2 linked regions of the Saccharomyces cerevisiae S288C genome follow. The gene in region 1 interacts genetically with each later gene. Each region holds a gene or a part of one and is shown on either strand. Other genes may lie near its edges.

Region 1 (10,203 bases):
GCGCTTTTAATGATAACGAATGGTGGTTCCTAAGAAAGGTTAAATTACAAGAAACAAGTCAATTGGATAATACATTAAATTACAAATTCATAGTTTCTTGCGTCTTCATTATCCTACAGATTATTCTCTTGCTGTTATTCTTCGGAGGGCCTAACAATATTAAACGGCGCCTCACAAAGGAGATGAAGTTAGTCGGAATCTCTATGTGCGGACTATGGGCACTAGCCACGTTGATTAATATACTTCTAGAACTGTTTAGCTAAAGCTTGCAAGAGTGCCTCCCGAAAAATTTGTTTTTGTGACATTTATCTGGCGCCGTAACAGATCCGCGCAGAACACAGAACACCAAGAAAAGAAGTACTATTTAATTTCAAGATTACTTAGACTCCGTCATTCAAATCGCCCTTTTATTCAAACAAAAATGGGCCATATATTCTTTCTGTCTCAACCTTCGTTTCCTTGGATGAATTATTTTGATTGAGCTCCAAAAAAAAAGTTGTAGCCAGGAACTATCCAAAACTTCGATTGAGAAACCCATAACAATGATGCCTGCCAGACTTTTCATACTATATCTTTTTGTAGTACTCATGCCTGTTGTTCATTGTTCGTCCAACCTGCCCATCACTCCATATATCTATGAGCGTCTAGTATATTTTATTAAGGCAAGCTCTATATCAAGCTGCATATCTGACAACTTACTTCTTGTTAATAAAACCTTCAACGACGGAGGTTGTCCACCACATATTAACTTCTGCAATGATGAGATAATTAACCCAACAGCGGGTCAAACAGTGGTTGAATTAGTTCTTAATGCAAAAAAAGGTGAATTAGGCTCGGGTTATCTGGCTGTTGACCACGGAAAAAAGGTTGTTATTTTAGCATTTAGAGGATCCACAACAAGACAAGATTGGTTTAGTGATTTTGAAATATATCCTGTTAACTATTCTCCCCTTTGCGTTAAGGAATATCGTAAGCTTATAGAGGAAGGAAAAATCAGAGAATGTGAAGGTTGTAAAATGCATAGAGGATTTCTAAGGTTCACAGAAACTCTCGGGATGGACGTCTTTAAAAAAATGGAGTCGATTCTGGAAAGCTTTCCGGAATATAGGATCGTTGTCACTGGGCACTCCTTGGGGGCAGCATTAGCAAGTTTGGCTGGGATTGAATTAAAGATAAGAGGCTTTGATCCGTTAGTGCTGACATTCGCAACACCAAAGATATTTAACAGTGAAATGAAACAATGGGTAGACGAGTTATTTGAAACAGATGCTATAGAAAAGGAGTCAATTCTTAAAGATGAAATTCAATTTCGTAAGGGCTATTTTAGGGTTGTGCATACAGGTGATTATATTCCTATGGTTCCACCATTCTATCATCCGGCTGGTTTAGAGATGTTTATTAACAAAGTTGGTCTACCTCAGAATGCGGAAGATATTGAATACCGTGGTAAAAATAACAGGTTAACTTTAAAGGATGGATTTCGAGAGGGTATGAGCGGTTTGGTTGAAGACTGGTTACATGTCTATGAACATCGAGCCTACTTCATTGACGTAGTGGGATGTTCTGGACTTTAACATTCACCCACTTTTACGTTTTTGTCTATAACTAGCATATATAATACCGCTCTAGAGTTACTCTAAACTAAATGCGACCACTATTCTTAACTAATAATTGTTCTTTTTACAAATAACTCTTTCAAAACTTCTAATCTTTTCTCTTACGTTTTCCATTTATCTGCTCTTCTTCTGAAACTCTTTTTCCTGCATTGGCCCTCTCTTTGTTACATGAAAGAGGTTTTAGGGTTGGTAATATTTCTGGTTGTAAACTTCTTGAATACACTTGGGTAGCTAACTGCTTATTCCAGTTCTCCTGGCCACTAATCCCGGCTACGCTTTTGTTGAAATAGTATTCTTCTACAGCATCATAGCTATCATCACACATGTCTACTAGTTTCCACGTATGTCTTGGAGGTACTCTATCTTGACCGTAGATGGAAGCTTTAAAATTTTCATCCCTTGGGAAATATTCCTCACGTGGAATTTTTTGAGCGCTGCATGGCTAAATTCTACCGAATCCAATACGTATATCCACTACTCAACATGTTGGGGCACAAGTGATTACACACTTAATATCTCTGTCATAGAAGCTACTACAGAGAAATTGGTTGACACTAGATTATTAACAACACTCGAGAATGCAACCGCTTGGATTAACTCAAACTCTATTGATGAAGACGAAGATGATATGCCTCATGCCACTAACGTAGCAGACCGGCTTGATGGGTTATCCCTTAGCAAGCGCGTATATAGCATCTGTCACTACGAATTTTAGTGCGGATTCTCTCCGTAGCGTAAACGTTCTCTATACATCATCTACCCATGTTGCTCCACCTAGCAGAACATTTCAGAAAGAAAGAAGTCCAAGTAATGGCCAACAACCAGAAGGACAGCTTTTTTTATGAAGGCCCCCTACTGCATATTCATTAAGCTTAAGCTTGATCGGTGAAAAATGCTATAATCTACGTGTACTGGTCACATTGTTGCACATCTCAATTAATCAACGCTCTATTATTATACGGAAGATATAAAGGCATAGTAAATACACTTGCCTGAGGTATTGATTGATGAATTATTTTCCACGGCCCATGCGTTACTCACTTCGAAAATACATTTGAATTTTAGTGATAAGTTTTGCGATCTACTTTTGTTCAAGATAATAATACTGGGGTAGAATATACACTAAGAAGTCTCTTTGAAATTAAAAATATCTCTAAAAAAATCCATTATATAATATACAGTAATACAATTAGAGGCAGGTTTTTCTTTTGCACAATCAATATGCTTTGAAACCAATAAATTCATCCCAGGAACGGACTTCTGGTGGAACTATAACGTCATGAGATTCCAAAATTTTGATCTTTTCTGCAATTTTTGCCTTCAAACACTTTGCAAATAACAAAGCCGTTTGAGGTTCATTGAACAATGGGATAGCAAAATCAATAGCATTCCTTCTCATAATATAGTCAACATCGTCAGTGCTCTCAGCTCTCTTGGAGGCTAAATTGAAAACAGCTTTTATGTCATATTCTTGAAATAGTTCACGCAATTTTCTCTTATCATTCTTTGGAAATTTAATCAAAGAAACCTTTGCGTTCTTTTCTTTGATGTGTTCCTGTAGATACGTTTTAGTGGTCTCATTAGTTGTGTATATTCTGTAACCAATAGTGGCCACTATGGAAGCCACTTGGCCCAAGTATTCTCGAGATGTATCACCTCCAAATAATATACCACTTGGAGGTAGTGGTACATGGAAGTTCATGGTACTTTGAATAGCAGTCCAATAGCTTTCAATTAAATCTCTACCAAATGAAGCAACTTCACCAGTTGATGCCATTTCAACCCCTAAGAAAGGATCTGCACCAGCCAACCTTGTAAAGGAAAATTGAGGAACTTTAGTAGCAACATAGTCGTACTTTTTGTTGAGCATCAAATCAACAGGTTTTGGTACAATGTCACCGCCCAAAAATGCCTTGACAGCAATTTCAATAAAATTAACGCCTAAAACTTTTGAAACGAATGGAAATGATCTAGAAGCTCTAATGTTACATTCAATCACTTTCAATGTATGCTCCCCATCCTTGATGATTTGCATATTGAAGGGGCCAGTGATCTTCCAAGCTTTTGCGACCTTATCAGCAATGTCTTTTAGGGCAATCTTCACATCGTCAGAAAGATGTTGTGGCGGTAAGACTAAAGAAGCATCACCGGAGTGCACACCCGCATTTTCAACATGCTCGGAAATGGCATGTACCAAGACATTACCATTATAAGCAACGGCGTCCACATCAATTTCTTGAGCACCTTCAATAAATTTAGACATGACGACTGGGTGGTCTGGAGAAACGTCAGATGCCAAAGTTAATTTAGCCTTCAGTTCCTCCTCATTATTAACAACACTCATTGCCGCACCGGAAAGAACATATGAGGGACGAATCAACACAGGGTAGTTAACTTTAGAAGCAAATAATTTTGCTTCTTCTACTGATGTTAATTCACTCCATTCAGGTTGGTCAACATCAATAGAATCCAAAATAGATGAGAATTTGTGTCTGTTCTCAGCTCTATCAATATCGTTTGGATTGGTACCCATTATATTACAGCCGTTATCGTAAAGTTTCAAGGCAATGTTTTGAGGTAATTGACCACCGACAGAAATAATGCAACCCTCAGATTGCTCCAACTCATAAATGTCCATCACTCTTTCATACGATAATTCTTCAAAGTATAATCTATCAACTTCATCGAAATCTGTGGAAACTGTTTCTGGGTTATAATTTATCATGATAGTTTTCTTGCCTTGATCTCTTAATGTCTTCGCGGTGTTCACGGCACACCAATCAAATTCTACAGATGAACCAATACGATAGACACCAGAGCCTAAAACCAGCATACCATTTTCGTTGAACTCCACATCGTTCTTTGTAGCATTGTAAGTGGTATACAAATAATTGGTTTGTGCTGGAAATTCTGCGGCCAAAGTATCGATTCTCTTGACAAAAGGGATTATACCTAACGTTTTTCTTAAACTTCTGATTTCCAGTTCGTTAATGTTTGTGGAGGCGTGTTTATTTATAGTAACCGCAATCTGCTTATCTGAAAACCCTAATTTCTTGGCTCTCTGCAAGAGATCTTTACTCAAGTCACTTAAAGATTTAACTGATTCAAGCTCTTTATAGATATTAACAATGTTCATGCACTTGTAAAGAAACCATTTATCAATTTTACTCAATTCATTAACTCTCTCAACAGTATAGTTTTCATGGATTAAGGCCTGACCAATGGCAAGGACTCTTCTATCAGTTGGAGTTCTCAAGGCTTCATCAAGTTGATCGCCGAATTCAGTAGAACCTTGGAATCCCAATAATGATGGATCCACCTGTCTTAATGCTTTTTGAAAGGCTTCTTCATAGTTTCTACCAATAGCCATAACTTCTCCAACTGATTTCATAGAGGAACCAATGGATCTGTCCACGTATTGGAACTTAGAAAGATCCCACTTAGGTATTTTTGCCACAATATAATCCAAAGATGGCTCAAAGTTAGCCACTGTAGTTTTTGTGATTGGGTTTGGCAATTCTGGCAAAGTATAGCCTAGCCCAATTTTGGCGGCAGTGTATGCTAAGGGATAACCAGTGGCCTTAGACGCCAATGCAGAGGAACGAGATAAACGTGCGTTCACTTCAATAACTCTATAGTCTAGCCCATCAGGTTGCAAAGCGTATTGGACATTACATTCACCAATAACACCAAGGTGTCTAATGATTTTAATTGCGGCGGATCTTAACATATGAAACTCTTCATCTGATAGGGTCTGCGAAGGAGCAAAAACCATAGAATCACCAGTATGAACACCAAGTGGGTCGAAATTTTCCATATTACATACTGTAATACAGTTACCAACCCTATCTCTGACCACTTCATATTCAACTTCTTTCCAACCTTTCAAAGATTTTTCAACAAGAATTTGTGGGGCCAACGACAAGGACTGTGCGGCAAGTTCCTTCATTTCACTTGCATTGTTAGCGAAACCTGAGCCTAACCCACCCAAAGCGTATGCAGATCTGACAATAACTGGGTATTTGACCCTTTCAGCAGCCTCCAAAGCTTCATCCACGGTTTCACAAGCAAATGATTCTGCGATGGGAATGTTGATATCCTTTAACGCAGATGCGAAAAGATCCCTATCTTCAGAAGTGATCAAAGTTTTGATAGGAGTACCTAAAACTTTGACGTTGTATTTAGCCAAAACACCAGATTCATCCAGAGCCACCCCACAATTTAGACCTGTTTGACCACCGAAGGTTAAAAGTATAGCATCCGGCCTTTCAAGTTCAATGATATATGTGATGTATTCTGGTGTAACGGGCAAGTAATAAATCTTGTCCGCCAGGGAATGAGAAGTCTGGTTAGTAGCGATATTTGGGTTAACCAATATAGTAAACTTGTTATCTTCCTTCAGAGCTTTGATAGCTTGAGAACCACTGTAATCGAATTCACCAGCTTGACCAATAGAGAGCCCTCCTGATCCAATGACAAGTACAGAATTTACTCCTTCAACTAATTGAGGTTTGTAGTCCTCGGTAGTAAAAGCAGAATTCGTAGGCTCTGTTGATGTATAAATCGATGTCATTCTTTTCTTCCTGTCTATGTACTGTATTGCTCTTCCTTTATAGAACTAATTTTAACTATAGATGTTAGTTTTTCGATGCTTAAACTTAAATAGCGCTTCAAAAAAGAGATAAGGCATACTATAGAAGACGTATTAGTAATTATATATATACAAATAGCATGGCAGAAATGCTTATGACGGAAAAAAAAAGATTGGATTTTCTCGATGCTTACTCAAGGTGACACAATCGTTACGACATGGAGGTTCCTATCTCTGATATTCAAAAGTTATTGCCATCTCATCAATAAGAGTCATTCACAATAATCTATAGAATGCCGCAGGAAAGAAGACAGTGGTGGATGAGTCATTTTCTCAACCCTAGTTTACAATCTGAATGTTTAGGGGATTTACTATTTTTAATTAGGACATTTGAATATTTCTGATAGGGTAAAATCACTTTTTAGGGTTTCTGATTTTCTATTTTCCTCATTTTTCACAATAATAACAATGTTGCCATTCTTTTATCACTACCCTAAATGTACCAAATATTAGTAAGAAAAGAAACATTATAAAGAAAAGGAGGTTTTACAAGGGTCACTTGGTGAGATTAGGTCGTCGTTATTATTTTTATTTTGTGGGCGGGGTGTAATAGTGCTAAAAAGAGGGAAAAGAAATAGTATACCATTCCGCAAAGATGGAGTACATCAAGATTGCCAAAGTATCTAATGTAGTGCTGCATAGAAGAGGTACGGCCACACAAGGTACTTTACATTTGACTACTCACCATTTGATCTTTGAGTCACCACAATTGTCGACGGAATTTTGGTTTCCATATCCTTTGATCTATGGAGTGCATAAAAACCCGGGTAGTACATTACTGTCCAAGTTGACTTCCACTAATCAAATCCAATTGGAGGGAACGGATTCACAGAATTACAAGCTTTACCAGGGTAAGGATCTATGGTCTTTTGTAAATATCAAGGTAATTGGGAAAGATTATGCGGTATTCTCATTGGATTTCGGTGGTGATTTACATCTACAGGCAAGAAAGGTGTATGATTCCATCTTAAATTTGACGGTCCTGTCCAATATCACGCAACTATATGCATTTATTTACATATCCAACAATCTGGAAAGGAAACTACCTTCACCCGATAGCTGGGATATATATGACCCAATTAAGGAATTTCGAAGGCAGGGCCTCGACAGTAAAGATGAAACATGTCCTTGGAGGCTATCCACGGTAAACGAACACTATGAATTTTGTCCAACGTATCCCTCAAAACTTTTTGTACCAAGATCCACGTCAGATATATTATTGAAGCATGCTTCGAAGTTTAGATCACAGAAAAGAATTCCTGTTTTAACTTATCATCACAAGGCAACAGATTGCAACATTCTTAGGTCATCTCAACCATTACCGGGGTTGATCAATCAGAGGTCCATTCAAGATGAAAAATTAGTTTGGGAAAGCTTCAACTCATTTTGTAATAAAGATATTAGAAGAACGAAACATGTAATAGTAGATGCCAGACCCAGAACAAATGCATTAGCACAGATGGCGTTGGGTGGCGGGACAGAAAATATGGATAATTATAATTTTTTTTTAGCTGATAACAATATGGGTGTCGATAAAAGTCTAAAACTGCCCACAGTTACACGGTTATTTCTTGGTATAGATAACATTCATATTGTTTCCAACACAGCTGCATACATGACGGAAGTTATCTGCCAAGGTGGCGATTTGAATTTACCACTGGAACAGAATTTAATTAGGAGTCAAAAATTTTCCAATTGGTTGAAGTTGAACACTCTTATTTTAAAATCCGTTGATATGCTTTTAAAGTCCATCATTTTCAATCATTCCAACGTTTTGGTTCATTGTTCTGACGGTTGGGACAGAACCAGTCAAGTTGTATCACTATTAGAAATTTGTTTGGATCCTTTCTATAGAACTTTTGAAGGTTTTATGATCCTAGTGGAAAAAGATTGGTGCTCTTTTGGTCACCGGTTTTTGGAAAGAAGTGGTCATTTAAACTCTGATATTAGATTTCATGATAACACTATGCATTCCAACTTCAACGATGTGGATACCAATGGCGATGATCTTGACATAGGTGTTAACACTCAAGACGATTATGCTGAAGATGATGAAGGAGGTGAAGATGAGACGAATTTAATTAATTTGAGTAGAATTTCCAAAAAATTTAACGAAAACTTTAAATTGAACAAGAAAAGTCTAAAGTTCGTCTCCCCAGTTTTCCAACAATTTTTAGACTGTGTATACCAACTTTTGACGCAAAACCCAGATCTATTTGAATTCAACGAAAGATTTTTAAGAAGACTAGTTTACCACTTGTATTCATGCCAATATGGAACATTCCTTTCCAATAGCGAGAAGGAGAAATTTCAACAGAATTTGCCAAACAAGACTAAAAGTGTCTGGGACTACTTCAGATCTAGAAGAAAGCAGTTCATAAATCCAAATTTCATACAGAGAAAAAGAAGCGGCATGAATGAGCACGATCAAAACCTTGAAGAGGAAGAAAAAGTGGAGTGGATTTCGCCGGATCTGAAGAAAGTCCAATGGTGGTGGCAGTTATATGGAAGAAAAGATTCAGAAATGAATGATGAATTACGCCATAAACGAGACTCAGTACCCATATCGGTGGATAAAAAGAGTAAAGAGCATAGTAATTCCGATGGCGGTAAGGGTTTAAATTTGTCAATTTTTGGATTTGATATGTTTAATAGAAAGTGATCTGGTTAACGGCAAAGAAGACAAATAAGTGAGTTAGTATTTTGCATACAATGATAGAAGTATAGAAAAGTTCAAGCATTTCTCCGTTGTTAGTATACATATATATATATTAATTTTAATGAATAAGGGTACATATATTATGAGCATAACGAGTGGCCGATCGGCAAAGGGGCTTACAATTTTACAACACCAGATTTCCAACTAACACCACACCACTGAGATATTAGTATAGCCAATCCTCTCACTGCCTCCACAGTTTCCTTATCACAACCAATATTCAAGGCACCTTTCAAATGCCCACGCAATTGAGGATTAACATCTTGTGGAACCAAAGAAGCAATTATCACTAAACTTGTCTCTTGCGCAGATAGTATCTCATCAAAGGCAAACAAAGGGCCATATACATGGACCAGTGTATAATACCATAAGTCTGGGTACGAAGAGTTTAGATTGTTTACCACGCGGGTTGAGACTTTGTTGTATATTGAATTCCAATGCCGTAAGCCGTTCTGTATGGTATGATCTCTTTCCTGGATTGTCTTGTCATGCTTCCTTCTCATAGAGGTTTCCGAAAGGGGAGAACTGTTTCCCATGGCAGCCTCCCACGGGTCTATTGGGTCTAAGTGCGGTACTAAAATGTCCGGAGTAGTTTCCTTTAGCATAGTCAGGCCATTGATCGCTCTTGGAAGGCCGGCCAGAGGTCCTGTTTTAAGAATAACTTCTCTAAATTTTGCTGTCAATTGCTTTTGGAAAAAAGTAGGTTGTTGGTAATTCTCATTGATCAAAGTTTTTCTCATTGGTAATTCTGAGCGCAGTAAGTCAATGGTTTGGGAAGCTAATGTGAATCTATACATGTGTGCATTATCATTACTCAGTAGCATGGCATAGTGGTATAATTTAGGTATTTCCTGTGGCTCATTACAAACACTGAACGTGGCGGCCGCAACAAGGTACCATATATTCTTCAGTTTAGGGTGAAATTGTGATAATTGTATCAGCCTTTGTGCATTTAGTATCTGGTTCATTCTTGAAATACTTGCAAAATATATATGTATTTTTTATGATAAAGTAAAGGAAGTTTGGCAAGTGGAGCCTGCAGTGTGGCACTTGTATATATGTATGTGTAAGTCAGTACACAAGTATAAGCATATATGGTTATGCTTCGTTGAGTAATTATTAGTCACACATTTTTTTAGGCTCTTTAGGATCTGCATTTTTTTTTTGGCAAGCACGAATTGAAGGACAGAAAAAAGAAAAAAAGTGATGAGATTGAA
Region 2 (3,310 bases), on another chromosome or scaffold:
GGAGCACCTGCCTTCCAAGCTGTTCTGGCGGTGAAAAGTGCAAATGTGATCACAGCACCGGAAGCCCTCAATGTAAGAGTTGTGGTGAAAAATGCAAATGCGAAACCACGTGCACTTGTGAAAAGAGTAAATGCAATTGTGAAAAATGTTAGGTGACCCCTACTCTTTACTTATCATAAATACATCATCATATTTTACCCTTAATTAACAACATTTATTTAACTGCATGAACTAAATATAAGGTATAGTTTCTTTTTCCCGGAATCTTTTTTTTAGATCGTTATTATTTAGACGGCACTAAGAGAAATAAATTAAACTAAATTACGGTGCGGAGCTCAAGGCATCTGCGAGTGTTTACTAACACTAAAAGAGATGAATAAAATAGATTTCTCAATGCAAAATTAAAATTACAATGTTACGCATACACACAAGTACAGATTTGTATATAGTATTTCTTCTTCGTTTTATCTGTCGTGTTGAAACATTTTGTTGTTCAAGTATTAAAAGTCTCCTGCGTTGTTAAAATCCATATCATGTGAATTGTTGGTGCCGCTCATGAGGCCGTTTTGATGTGGAATATTATATTGAATGTTATGCAATGGTTGTTGTTGTCGTGGCTGCCGCTGCCGTTGGCGTTGGCAGCTTCTGGTTTGCTTTTGTACTTGTTCACTACTACTGTTGTCACTCAACGGTTGAGATGGCTCGGTAAGATGGACGAAAGAATCCCGTGTGTCATTTGATAAATGTTGATTAGCCAAGCTTAGCTGTAGGCACTTTCTTTCTAAATGACAAATATATTCAATAGATTTCGTTAAAATGGACGCCTTATTCAATTTTGTTGCTGGCTCTAGGCCATCTAAGTCTGCTAGGTCTCTAGATGTAATGGGAAGATCGTTACATTTTTTATACGCTACTCGTAGCGTTGGGACAGTTCTCCTTAATTGTTCAATTTTATCATTAATATTGGAACGGTATTTCTTTTCAATTATATTGTGTGATACCCTTCCTGTCCTCACCCTTGTTATTCTTTTGGGTTTAACATGAAAATGTTTCCGTATAGGTGAAGTTTTTAACTTGAAGCTCATACTGTCAGCATTGTCAATATTCTCCAAATTCAAAGATGATTTAATCTCGTCTGCAGTAACTAAGGGAGACTCTGTCTTCGATAAAGGCAAAAAATTTTCAAAGCCAGACAATTGTTCCTTTTTCACGATTGAAGCTGCTGAAAGAAGACTCGAGTCCTTTTCAGATTTAAGATCGGTTTGCTTTACATTATCAATGTTTTCATTTTCCTCGCTACTAAAGACTTCCATGTTATCAATGTATTCTTCGCTGTCAATAGTATTGCCATTGTCTGTAGTCATTGTAGTACTACCCGTCGTTGTTGTAGGTATAGAAGCCAGAGCATCATTATAGTAATTACTATCAATTACTGGAGTGTGGCCTGAAGTATTAGGAAACGAGGAGTCACTATACTGGTCTGTGGCAGAATATGTGTTGTTCTTATATACAGGAGGCACGGGAGGTTGAAGATGGATGGGATGCTGAAATGGAGCGTAATAAGCATGCGTCGGAGGTCCTTGAGAACCCAAATCCTCGGTATTGTAATTTGGTGGCGGCACGTTGTAATTGTTACTTTGAAACATTAAATACATTTGGTTCGTGGTTACATTTACATTCTGCTCTTCGCTGCCATCTTGAGCACTTCTACAATCAAAAACCTTGATGGCGACTTTATTACCTAGGTCGTTCATTACAGAATTGCCATCCGAAGAACCAGAAAAAGGTTTTTGAAAATTTGGCATTTCCAATTTATACTCTTATCGTTGCTAAAATGAGTCGTGTACTGCAACTGCTCTATATTCTATATTCTAAGCGAATGGGTGGGTGGGTGTGACTAACTATTAAACTACCTAAGCGATCTCGAGAGCCAAGGCGAGTAGTAGAAATAAAACTAGAAGCGCGCTTTACAGGTTTGACCTTAAGTATGATGCGATAAGACACTTACATAGGACGATTTTTGAGGCTTACAATGTGTAACCAAGGTATATAAAAGGTGCTGCTGCTCTTGGGAAAAATACAAAGAAAACGCCTACGGTAAAAATACAATACCAGCTATTTTTTTCTTTTGAGAAGCCCACTCAAAGTAAAAATTAAACAATGATGGAAAAGAACGGAAAAAAGTTCAAACAGAAAATTAAAATACAGCAGAGAAGACTAGGCACAACAAAGTGGGATTGTGTCTACGCTTTTAACGGTGTACCCTTTTTCCTCGCCACGTTTTCACTCAGATCTAAATCTCTGCTGTAATTTACAGCGGCATAAGAAGGCACGTCCCCTGAAAGTAGGCTAGCCAGAAAACAAAAAGGCCAGAATCGGCGCGGAACTTCTCGTATCGAGAGCAAATGAGGGGTGCGGCACACAGTAGGAAAGGGTAACTGATTAACATACGTACACCCCGGCATAAAAGCTTCTGCAGGCTTTGTAGGCAAGAGACACTGCGGAGAATAAAAGGTTGTGACGCCCAATACCTTCGCCGGACTCCTTCTTGGCGTTCACAAAAGACGATGCTGCAGCATTTTTTTCTTGCGTCGAACTCGCGCCCACAGCAACGAGACGGTTCCGTTCCTTCCCGTAATGTTGCTTTGATTAACAAAATTCTCGTTTCCTCAGTTCTGTGAGCCCGTTTGTCAGCAGAGGAATCCCAATGAAGAAAATTTTTTCTGGAAAGTAAAAGCGAGCGAAAAGTTTAAGGTTCAGATTGCATCACTATTCGTTCAGTTGATAGCGAATGTAGACCGCTAGCGGCTTGATTAGATAAATAGAGTGGGTTAAAAAAAAGGAAAAAAAAAATGTGAATTGCACATGCCCAGCGCGCTCGCAAAACATATAAAGTTGTCCTCACATGCGGCGTGCATTGTTCATAGCGGGGCAAACATACTTGTGGCTTAATTTGACACATCTACTTTTAATCTTTTCTTGGTCTAGTACAATGGCTTTTTCCCAAAGTAGAAGGCTTCTTACTCCAACCGTACCCTGTCCTACTTTACTGGGCATTGATTTTTTAATTCTTGTCTTGAGGCATTTCGACGAGATTTTCATTTGAAAAATATACCTCCGATATGAAACGTGCAGTACTTAACTTTTATTTACCTTTATAAACAAATTGGGAAAGCAAGGAGATAGATCTGACTGCCGGCCGAGCTTGGCTTGACTTAGTAGTTTCGATGTCCCTTTTCTTACTTTCCTCATGCAAAATTGGTGATGAATTGAATGATTTTCGTTCATCTACGCTTTTCATGTCAATCAC

The links. Genes that interact genetically often act in the same process or in processes that back each other up.
Region 2: of CPA2 (region 1) and HMS1, changing one suppresses a phenotype caused by changing the other (phenotypic suppression), as found in Saccharomyces cerevisiae (2 studies listed by BioGRID).

Annotation. Positions count from the first base shown.
Region 1 is NC_001142.9:626,753-636,955, forward strand, and holds CPA2 (carbamoyl-phosphate synthase (glutamine-hydrolyzing) CPA2), read right to left. Parts: upstream 6,190-10,203; coding exon 2,833-6,189; downstream 1-2,832. Other genes in the region: ECM27 (Ecm27p), read left to right, coding at 1-263; LIH1 (putative lipase), read left to right, coding at 588-1,574; YJR107C-A (uncharacterized protein), read right to left, coding at 1,705-1,941; ABM1 (Abm1p), read left to right, coding at 1,960-2,331; phosphatidylinositol-3-phosphatase YMR1, read left to right, coding at 6,863-8,929; PXP2 (Pxp2p), read right to left, coding at 9,103-9,954. UniProt on the Saccharomyces cerevisiae protein: Large subunit of the arginine-specific carbamoyl phosphate synthase (CPSase).
Region 2 is NC_001147.6:389,271-392,580, forward strand, and holds HMS1 (Hms1p), read right to left. Parts: upstream 1,806-3,310; coding exon 501-1,805; downstream 1-500. Other genes in the region: YOR032W-A (uncharacterized protein), read left to right, coding at 2,906-3,106; Rad2 family nuclease EXO1, read right to left, coding at 3,146-3,310. UniProt on the Saccharomyces cerevisiae protein: Involved in exit from mitosis and pseudohyphal differentiation.